3 linked regions of the Anolis sagrei genome follow. The protein of the gene in region 1 purifies or fractionates together with the protein of each later gene. This does not show direct contact. Links are inferred from orthologs where the notes say so. Each region holds a gene or a part of one and is shown in the gene's direction. Other genes may lie near its edges. The genes, in order: GDI1, RAB9A and RAB14.

The links.
Region 2: the proteins of GDI1 (region 1) and RAB9A purify together in Homo sapiens (affinity purification with mass spectrometry; 3 studies listed by BioGRID and IntAct, counting the BioPlex papers as one, with this or other methods). This does not show direct contact. The link is inferred for Anolis sagrei from reciprocal best matches to the Homo sapiens genes GDI1 and RAB9A.
Region 3: the proteins of GDI1 (region 1) and RAB14 purify together in Homo sapiens (affinity purification with mass spectrometry; 3 studies listed by BioGRID and IntAct, counting the BioPlex papers as one, with this or other methods). This does not show direct contact. The link is inferred for Anolis sagrei from reciprocal best matches to the Homo sapiens genes GDI1 and RAB14.

Annotation. Positions count from the first base shown.
Region 1 is NC_090022.1:174,395,176-174,398,932, reverse strand, and holds the start of GDI1 (rab GDP dissociation inhibitor alpha), read left to right. Parts: upstream 1-1,151; 5' UTR 1,152-1,334; coding exon 1,335-1,379; intron 1,380-3,757. UniProt on the Homo sapiens protein: Regulates the GDP/GTP exchange reaction of most Rab proteins by inhibiting the dissociation of GDP from them, and the subsequent binding of GTP to them. Promotes the dissociation of GDP-bound Rab proteins from the membrane and inhibits their activation.
Region 2 is NC_090023.1:91,719,156-91,722,912, reverse strand, and holds the start of RAB9A (ras-related protein Rab-9A), read left to right. Parts: upstream 1-1,333; 5' UTR 1,334-1,441; exon of another isoform or gene 1,442-1,505; intron 1,506-3,757. UniProt on the Homo sapiens protein: The small GTPases Rab are key regulators of intracellular membrane trafficking, from the formation of transport vesicles to their fusion with membranes.
Region 3 is NC_090031.1:8,552,796-8,556,552, forward strand, and holds the start of RAB14 (ras-related protein Rab-14), read left to right. Parts: upstream 1-1,216; 5' UTR 1,217-1,480; intron 1,481-3,757.

The DNA of each region.
Region 1 (3,757 bases):
GAGTCCAAAAGTGGCAGGCTCAAACCCAGCACCTCAATCCATGGGTGATACCAGATGAGAGACTCCCCCCTGGACACACAGAAGACTGGGCGACTTGGAAGGCGCTGAACAGACTGCGCTCTGGCACCACGAGATGCAGAGCCAACCTTCAGAAATGGGGCTACAGAGTGGAATTCACGACATGCGAGTGTGGAGAAGAGCAAACCACAGACCACCTGCTGCAATGCAACCTGAGCCCTGCTACATGCGCAATGGAGGACCTTCTTACTTGGAGCAACACCAGAGGCACCAGAGGCATTCCAAGTGGCCCGATACTGGTCAAAGGACATTTAATCAAACTACTAAACTCACAAATTTTGTATTTTGTCTGTTTGTTTGCTTTGTTCTGTTAGAAATGTAATATAATTTGACTGGTTGCTCTGACACGACAAATAAATAAATAAATAAATGGATACTGTTGGCATTGAATTGTTGCCTGCGTTAGCCGCCCTGAGTCCCCCCTCAGGGGTGAGAAGGACGGGGTAGAAATGGTCTAAATAAATAAATAAAGGAGATTCCATCTGAACACGAGGAAGAACTTCCTGATTGTGAGAGCCGTTCAGCAGTGGAACTCTCTGCCCTGGTTTGTGGTAGAGGCTCCATATTTTGAGGCCTTTAAACATGAGGAAGAACTTCCTGGCTGTGAGAGCTGTTCAGCAGTGGAACTCTCTGCCTCGGTGTGTGGTGGAGGCTCCTTCTTTGGAGGCTTTTAAACAGAGGCTGCATGGCCATCTGCTGAGGGTGCTTTGAATGAGATTTTCCTGCTTCTTGGCAGGGGGTTGGACTGGATGGCCCATGAGGTCTCTTCCAACTCTTTGATTCTATGATTCTATATATATGTATAGAGAGAGAGAGAGATAGAGAGAGAGATAGATACACACAGAGATGTATGCATATACTAGAACCCATCCTTGCAGTGAGGTTTCCATGGTGAAGGCAGGCCTGACAAGCCCCCTCCTCCTCCTGCCCTCAGCTGATGACAGGGAGAAACAGGGGCCGGAACTCGTTTCCCATCCTCTCTCTGCGCTGAGGCTGTGGCCAGAACACGGCGGAGGGGCACACTCCCACCCCTCGCCCTTTTCTCCATCCGCCTCCTTTGGAAAAAGGGGCGCGAGGATCCAGTTCACCCTCCCTTTTCCAAGGCGGAGCGATCTCTGCTTTCTCTCTCGGCTCTGGGACTCGTTTATTTTCCCCGGCGGGGTGATCCGCTCGGCGCGGTGGTGCGGCTCCATCTTGGCTCCGCTCGGGGCGGGGGCTCCGCGGCCGGGACCACCACCGTCACCACTACCACCACCATGGACGAGGCCTACGACGTGATCGTGCTGGGCACCGGCCTGACCGTGAGTCTCACCGGGGAAGGGCCAGGGGCGGCCCGCCTGTGGGGACTCCTTTTCCTCCGCCACCGCCGCATCCCAGCCTCCCTTCCCTTCCATTGCAGGCAGGATGCAGCGTCGCCCTTCCTTGATGCAATGGGGAGGGGGAGACCTTGCATTGCAATGGGATGGATGGGGATGGATGGGGCATCTTTCTATTTTTATTTTTCCAAGCACCCACTTCCATATTTCTCCTGCAATAATAATAATAATAATAATAATCATAATTTATATTGCAATCGGATTATGGAGATGGGGCATCAGTTTTTATTTTTCCAATAATAATAATAATAATAATAATAATAATTTGTATTATTTATATTGCAATGGGATGGTGGGGATGGGACATCTATTTTTTTTATTTTTTTCCAAGCACCCACTTCCATATTCCTCCTGCAATAATAATAATAATAATAATAATAATAATAATAATAATTATTTATATCACAATCGGATTATGGAGATGGGGCATCAGTTTTTATTTTTCCAATAATAATAATAATAATAATAATAATAATAATTTGTATTATTTATATTGCAATGGGATGGTGGGGATGGGGCATCTATTTTTTTTTATTTTTTTCCAAGCACCCACTTCCATATTCCTCCTGCAATAATAATAATAATAATAATAATAATAATTTATATTGCAATGGGATTATGGAGATGGGGTATCTGTTTTTATTTTTCCAATAATAATAATAATAATAATAATAATACTTTGTATTATTTATATTGCAATGGGATGGTGGGGATGGGGCATCTGTTTTTGTTTTTTCCCAAGCATCCACTTCCATATTCCTCCTGCAATAATAATAATAATAATAATAATAATTTATATTGCAATCGGATTATGGAGATGGGGCATCAGTTTTTATTTTTCCAATAATAATAATAATAATAATAATTTGTATTATTTATATTGCAATAGGATGGTGGGGATGGGGGCATCTATTTTTTATTTTTTTCCATGCACCCACTTCCATATTCCTCCTGCAATAATAATCATCATAATAATTTGTATTATTTATATTGCAATGGGATGGTGGGGATGGGGCATCTGTTTTTGTTTTTTTTCCAAGCACCCACTTCCATATTCCTCCTGCAATAATAATAATAATAATACTTCGTATTATTTATTTTGCAATGGGATGGTGGGGATGGGGCATCTGTTTTTTTATTTTTCCAAGCATCCACTTTCTTATTTCTCCTGCAATATATTATTATTATTATTATTACAATAGGATGGTGGATCGTGCATTACAATGGAATGGTGGAGATGGGGCATCTATTTTTATTTTTTTTCAAGCACCAATTTCCTTAATCATCCTGCAATAATAATAATAATAATAATAATAATAATATATTGCAACAGGATGGTGGAAATTGTGCCTTTATTTTTTTTCCCCAAGCACTCATTTTCTTATTTCTTCTGCAATATAAATGATAGTGATTATAATAATAACAACAGCCAGCAGAGTGTCTGCTGTGGACTCATCTTGTTGTGTTTCTAATAATAATAATAATAATAATAATAATAATAATAATTTGTATTATTATTTATATTGCAATGAGATGGTGGAGATGGTGCATTTATTATTATATTTTTTCCAAGCACCCACTTCCTTATTTCTCCTGCAATATTATTATTAATAATAATTTATATTGCAGTGGGATGATAGATCATGCATTCCAATGGGATGGTGGAGATGGTGCATTTATTTATTTATTTATTCCAAGCATCTACTTCCTTATTTCTCCTGCAATATACATTAATAATATTATTATTATTACAATGGAATGGTGGGAATGGTGCCTTATATTTTTTTATTCCTTATTTCTCGTGCAATATAAATAATAATTGTTATTTGGATTATTTGTATTGCAATGGGATGGTGGATCGTGCATTGCATTTTTTATTTTTCCAAGCACCCACTTCCTTATTCCTCCTGCAATATAAATAATAATAATATGATGATAATAATAATAATAATAATAATAATAATAATAATAATAATTGTCCTTCCATGCTGTGTATGTGGATTTCCACCTCATTGGCTCTGTTCTCCTAATGGAAATGGGTTTGGCCCCATTGCAGCTCCTCTGATGCAACCCTCCATCCATCCTCAATGTCTGGGTACCAATTGCAAAGCCTCTTTCTCTCTCCTTCCTTCTTTCCTTCCGTCCGTCCTTCCTTCCCTCCCTCCCTCCCTTCTTTTCCTTCTTTACTTTCATCCTCCCCTTCCTTATTTCCCTTCACTCTCTTCTCTTCCTTCCAACATTTTGGCCAGATCCTTCTTATTTCCAACCCATCCCTTGTCTTTAAGATAACAATCCTTGTGTAG
Region 2 (3,757 bases), on another chromosome or scaffold:
GTCCAGATCCATCATTGTTTGAGTGCTCTCTGGATGTAGGTATACTACAACTCCCAAACTCAAGGTAAATGCCCATCAAACCCTTTTAGTGTTTTCTGTTGGTCATGGGAGTCCTGTGTGTCACCTTTGGTTCAATTCCATCATTGGTGGAGTTCCGAATGCTCTTTGATTGTAGGTGAACTATAAATCCCAAGAACTACAACTCCCAAATGACAAAATCAAAATGTTTTTGAGTGAAGGGCAAACATTGGGTTGTTAGGTGTGTGTTGTCCAAATTTGGTGTCAATTCCCCCAGTGGTTTTTGAGTTATGTTAATCCCACAAACGAACATTACATTTTTATTTATATAAGACTAGCCATTCCCTGCCACGCGTTGCTGTGGCCCACTCTGTTGGTTATGGGGGTTCTGTGTGGGAGGTGTGGCCCAATTCCATCGTTGGTGGGGTTCAGAATGCTCTATGATTGTAGGTGAACTACAAATCCCAGCAACTACAACTCCCAAATGTCAAGTTTCTATTTTCCCCAAACTCCACCAGTGTTCACATTTGGGCATATTGAGTATTCGTGTAGAGTTTGGTCCAGATCCATCATTGTTTGAGTCCACACTACTCTCTGGATGTAGGTGAACTACAACTCCCAAACTCAAGTTCAATGCCCACCAAACCCTTCTAGTCTTTTCTGTTGGTCATGGGAGTCCTGTGTGTCACCTTTGGTACAATTCCATTATTGGTGGAGTTCAGGATGCTCTTTGATTGTAGGTGAATTATAAATCCCAGGAACTACAACTCCCAAATGTCAAAATCAAAAAAATTTGAGTGAAGGACAATCATTGGATTGTTAGGTGTGTGCTGTCCAAATTTGGTGTCAATTCATCTAGTGGTTTTTGAGTTCTGTTAATCCCACAAACTAACATTGCATTTTTATTCAGATAGATAGATAGATAGATAGAAGATTGCAATTCACACTTGCCTCAAACAGGGAAGAGTTCTTTCTCCAAGCGTGGACATTATTCCACAGATATATAAACCCCACTTGCCTAGTTTCCACAGACCTCACAACCTCTGAGGACGCCCGCCATAGATGCAGGCGAAACGTCAGGAGAGAAGGCTACCATACTGTTCGGAAAACTCACAGCAACCCAGTGATTCCGGTGAATGCATTAATTCTACCGTAGACGCAGGCTCAGTATCAAAGGCGCTGCCAAATCCTGATCTACCAGAGACCGGTGAAAGAGAGAGAGAGAGCCGTCCACAAAGTGAGCCTGAAGGGAAGCCCCGCCCCTCGGCCCATCCTCCCCTAAACGAGGCGAAGAGGCGGCCCCGCCCGCGCCCGTGGTCACGTGAGAGGGTCAGCCCCGCCCCCATGGCGCAGACTTCTCCGCCGCCATGTTGTTTCTCCCCCTCCTTCGCAGGCCGGTGCTTCCTCTCCCTCTCCCGGAAAGGTGAGCGCCTCGTCCCACTCGTTGACCCGCGTTCCCTTTCGGCCTTGACTGGAAAGAAACAGAAGTGAGTGGGAAGTCTTGTGGGGCCGGGGGAGGAGCGGGTCGAGGGAAGCCTCCGAGGCTGCGGCGCAATGGGCCAGCTGGAGTGTTTGGCCTGAAGAGAAGGAGAGCCCTCTTCTCTTGCTTGCCTACAGTGTGTATACCAGGCCTGGGCAATCCTGGGCCTTCCAGGTGTTTTGGACTTCAACTCCCACTATTCCTAACAGCCTCAGGCCCCTTCCTTTTCCCCCTCAGCCGCTTAAGCGGCTGGGGGGGGGGGGGAAGGAAGGGGCCTGAGGCTGTTAGGAATGGTGGGAGTTGAAGTCCAAAACACCTGGAAGGCCCAAGATTGCCCAGGCCTGGTGTATAAGGTGAATACAAAACATAAGTGAATATAATGCCTACTTGGGTCCCATCTCTAAGATGTCTCATTGTGTTTAAGAAAATACAGTAAACTCTCAATTAACTGGCATCCATGGGGAATGCTAGATGCTGGATAAATGTAACTTATGGTTCTTAGGGAGCTATTATTAAAAACAGCCTTAATTAATGCTATGCCGTAACCATCAATTCTGCATTGACTCGGTATTAATTTAGAAACGTGGCACTTAAAAGCCAATTAGGTCAAACACAAACTTAATGAAACACAATTTTACTGTATTATAGAAACAGCTTTATGAATGCTGCTTTAAAAGTCAAGACAGTAATTAAAGAACAACACTCAGAAAACAGGAGAATTCCAGACAGAAAAGAATCAGGGCCAGCTAACACCTAACAAAGGATTCCCCCCAGGCAGTAAACAACCAGTCCTTGAATCTGCAAGACCATTCAATGCTAATCAAGGTGGGCAATTGCTACATTAACACTTGCCTCAAATAGACAATAGTTCTCACACGTTCTCCCTCCCGGGACTTTCCACAGATATATAAACCCCTCTTGCTGAGTTTTCAGCACACCTTGCAACCTCTGAGGATGCCTGCCATAGATGTAGGCAAAATGTCAGGAGAGAATGCTACTGGCATGTGGCCATATAGCCCAGAAAACTCGCAGCAACTCAGTGATTCTGGCTATGAAAGCCTTCGACAACACAGCTTTAAAACTTTGGGTTGTTTTTTTTTTTTTTGCTAGTTGCTTCAGTGTTCTGGTTAACTGAGACTTTACTGTATTCCAAAATCCCACATAAGTTTGGCATTTTGAATAAGGGATACTCAAGCTGTCCTAGTTACACATTTCAGCATTGCAAGAGATTGGACTAGATGGCCCTTTCCACTCTTAGAATCTGTGATTGTATTAGAGGCGGAGGAGAAAATAAGTTTTTTTCCGGTGTGATTGTTGCCTTTGGTCTCTACACAAAGATGAATGCTTTCCTTCTGTGCCAGTTAACTTCCCTTCTAGGAGTGAGGGGCTGGAGCTGCCGATCTACCTTGTCTGTTTTCCTTCCGGACTCACAGAAGTGGTGTGATTAAAGATCCCGTGATGCTGAGGCCGAGAGGCTGTTCAGTGGAGAAATTGCGTCTCTTCTATGCTTCTCAGCTGGCATGTGACCAATTTCTCTTCAGGGCAGTTTCTCAGAACTGATTAAAAATCACTGGACTGTCAGGGGACAGCTCCATTTCTTATGTATATCGCCTTTGTCTTCTTTCCTTTCTAGCTTCTGTCATGTAGAAAAACAATCTCTCTTGAAAAAGAAAATCCTGAATTGAGCTTTTTGCTTTGCTCCTTTTCCAGGGTTTATTTGGTATTCTAGTGAAGATAAGCAAATTGGAGTCTGTGTTTTTCCAGCTACCTTTGTGTACCAAGCGGGCACAAACACAAAAGGCACCTCATTAAGAAATGCCAAGTGACATAATATATTAAGTCTAACTTGTATAGCTGTAATAGATTTGACTTTTTGTTGGGAATTCAGCATTCTTATAAGGCAGAACAGCAAAAGATAGGTTTTCCTCACAGAAGATAAACTTCCCTTATGTACAGCAATGCATAAAAGTAATTATTATCTGTATAGAAATTGTGCTTTGCCATGTATTTGAAATAGAAGCTTCCCAACATGTAAAGGACCACACTGAACTTTGTTGAACTGAAATTCTTGAACACAGTAACTGAACATTTGTGGTTTCCTTGACACAGATGTATAGTTCTAACAGGGTGGGGATTGCTGAGTGGGTGGAAAGGTCTCATGAACATTGAGGAAGTTTTTCAGCTCTGCTATTTCAAAATGTTTGATGAGGGAGATTAGCACTTTCCAAGTTGACTTACTCAGTTGCCACAGATGATTAC
Region 3 (3,757 bases), on another chromosome or scaffold:
TGATGGCAGTTCTGCGTTCGGGGCGTTCACTGCCACTGTTGTCCATCAGAGTCCGTACGTTCCACGTACCGAAGTTCATTTTTCTTTTTTGGCCGCAGGGTGGTGACCCCACTGGACGCGGCAGTCCAGTCAGGGATGACTGGACTATATTACTAATAATATTAGAATATAATGGTACAGTGCAATATAGAAATATATAATACTGATATTGTACTATGCTAATAATATAATATATTGTATGGCAGAGGTCTCCTGTACTAATAATACAATATAATATATTATTATATAATGTAATATAATATAAATACATATATTTATATTATAATGTAGTACAATATAATGCTGCTGCTACTAATAATATGATATTATAATTATATATTTATATTACATGTAATATTACTAATAATATTACAATTTAATGGTATACTGAAATATAGAAATATATAATACTGATATTGTACTATGCTAATAATATAATATATTGTATGGCAGAGGTCTCCTGTGCTAATAATATAATATAATAATATAATATAGTTATATTATAATGTACTACAATATAATACTACTACTAATAATGTGATATTATGATTATATATTTATATTACATGTAATATTACTAATAATATTAGAATATAATGGTACAGTGCAATATAGAAATATATAATACTGATATTGTACTATGCTAATAATTTAATATATTGTTATATGCATATAAATACATAAATATATTATTTTATATCATTTTATGTTGCAATTCCCCTTCCAATGTGCTCAAAACACAAAAGACTAAAAAGGTGGGTGGAGACTTTTTTCTATTCTGGAACCCTATTGGTCGGCTTCCGCTGACAGACATTTGTAAAGCCCGCCCGCTTTAAGATCTCGCGATGTTTGGAGCCCTGCTCGCCGCGAGACCACTTCTTTTCTCCCCTTCCTCTAAGGCGCATGCGCTTTGAATGCACTCTCCGGCCTGCCCCCCCGCCCTTCCGCATAGAGGTCCCACGAATTCTGCGCAGGCGCACTCCAGCCTCAAAAAGAGAGAAACCCCTCTGCATGCCACACCCCTTGACAACAACACCCTCCTTGGCCCCTCCCCCCTCCGGTGCCAATCACCCTTCAGCCCCGCCTCCTTTCCCACTTTTCTTGTTTCTCGCGTTCCGCCCGCTTCAAATCTTGACCCCTTCCCATTTGGGAGGCGGGCGCTCTCTCGCCGCTCCGGCCCCTCCCTCCCAGAAGTGGGCGGGGAAACCTGTGTGAGGGGGGCAGCCGCCATCTTGGATAAAGTCTGTGTGTGTCTCTGTGAGGGGGAGAAAAACCTGGAAGTGGCGGCCGGAAAGGGGGAAACTCAGCGCGAGAAGAGTTAAGAGAAGGAGAAAGAGGAGGCTGGCTGGTTTCCCAAAGGGAGGAGCGAGAAGGGGAGAGGCCGGTCGCCGTCGCAAAGCGGAGCCAAGCTGCCCAGTCACCGCCATTCCTTCGGACCCGGGTGAGAAATCGAGGCCGAGGCCTGAGGCCTAGCTGCTGCTGCCCTTGTGGCGTTGCTTGGCAACGGGGCGGGGGTCCCTTTGGCCCCGCCCATTCCGCCAGAGGCCTCTTGCTGTTTGGCCTTCCAGGCCTAGGCCTCGCCGAAGCCTCCCACCCCCGCCTGCCTCTGCTGGGCTATGCCATTAAGGACACAGGCATGCGATGACACACGGGAGAGGGATCCTTTCGTGTTCCTTGACTGGAAACCCCCTTCCACACAGCTGTGTAGCATCCACATTGAACTGGGTTATATGGCAGTGTGGACTCAAGTAATCAAGGGCCCTTCCACACAGCCATATAACCAGGTATATCAAGGCAGAAAATCCCACAATATCTGCTTTGAACTGGGTTATCTGATGGCCCATCCACACAACCATATACCCAGAATATCAAGCCAGAAATTCCACAATATCTGCTTTGAACTGGGTTATCTGAGGGTCCTTCCACACAGACCTATATCCCAGAATATCAAGGCAGAAAATCACACAATATCAGCTTTGAATTGGGTTATCTGATGGCCCTTCAACACAGCCCTATAACCCAGTATATCAAGGCAGAAAATCCACAATATCTGCTTTGAATTGGGTTATGTGAAGGACTTTCCACACAGCCATATAACCCAGTATATCAAGGCATAAATCTGGTCCTTCCACACAGCCCTATATCCCAGAATATCAAGGCGGAAAATCCCACAATATCTCTTTGAACTGGGTTATTTGTGGGCCCATCCACACAGCCTATATCCCAGAACATCAAGGCAGAAATTCCAAGATATCTGCTTTGAATTGGGTTAGCTAAGGGTCCTCCCACACATCCCTATATGCCAGAATATCTGCTTTGAACTGGGTTATCTGATGGCCCTTCCACACAGCCCTATATCGCAGAAAATCCCACAATGTCTGCTTTGAACTGGGTTATTTGAGGGTCCTTCCACACAGTCCTATATCCCAGAATATCAAGGCAGAAAATCCCACAATGTCTGCTTTGAACTGGGTTATCTGATGGCCCTTCCACACAACCATATAACTCAAAATATCAAGGCAGAAATACCACAATGTCTGCTTTGAACTGGGCTATCTGATGGCCCTTCCACACAACCTTATAACCCAGAATGTCGGCAGAATATCCCAGTATATCAAAGTAGAAAATCCCACAATATCTGCTTTGAACTGGGTTATCTGAAGGCCCTTCCACACAACCTTATAACCCAGAATGTCAAGGCAGAATATCCCAGTATATCAAAGTAGAATATCCCACAATATCTGCTTTGAACTGGGTTATCTGATGGACCTTCCACACAACCTTATAACCCAGAATGTCAAGGCAGAATATCCCAGTATATCAAAGTAGAATATCCCACAATATCTGCTTTGAACTGGGTTATCTGATGGACCTTCCACACAACCTTATAACCCAGAATGTCAAGGCAGAATATCCCAGTATATCAAAGTAGAAAATCCCACAATATCTGCTTTGAACTGGGTTATCTGAAGGCCCTTCCACACAGCCCTATATCGCAGAATATCAAGAGAGAAATCCCCCAATATCTGCTTTGAACTGGGTTATCTGTGGACCCTTCCACACAGCCATATAACCCAGAATACCAAGGCGGAATATCCCACAATATCTGCTTTGAACTGGGTTATCTTAGGACCCTTCCACACAGCCCTATATTCCAGAATATCAAGGCAGAAAATCCACAATATCTCCTTTGAATTGGGTTATGTGAAGGACCATCCACACAGCCATATAACCCAGTATATCAAGGCAGAAATCCGGTCCTTCCACACAGCTCTGTATCCCAGAACATCAAGGCAGAAATCCCACAATATCTGCTTTAAACTGGGTTATTTGAGGGCTCTTCCACACAGCCTATATTCCAGAATATCTGCTTTGAATTGGGTTATCTGAGGGCCCTTCCACACAGCCTTATAACCCAGTATATCAAGGCAGAAAATCCCACAATATCTGCTTTGAACTGGGTTATCTGAGGGTCCTTCCGCACAGCCTATATCTCAGAATATCAAGGCAGAAAATCTCACACTCAGATAACCCTATATTATGGGATATAGGGCTGTGTGGAAGGGCCTGAAGCCCCTTTCACTCATCTGTATAAAATCCGCATTAAACTGGATTATCTGGCAGTGTGGACTCAGATAACCCAGTTCAAAGCAGATATTATGGATTATTTGCCTGGATATTCTGGGTTATATGGCTGTGTAGAAGAGCCCTCAAGCCC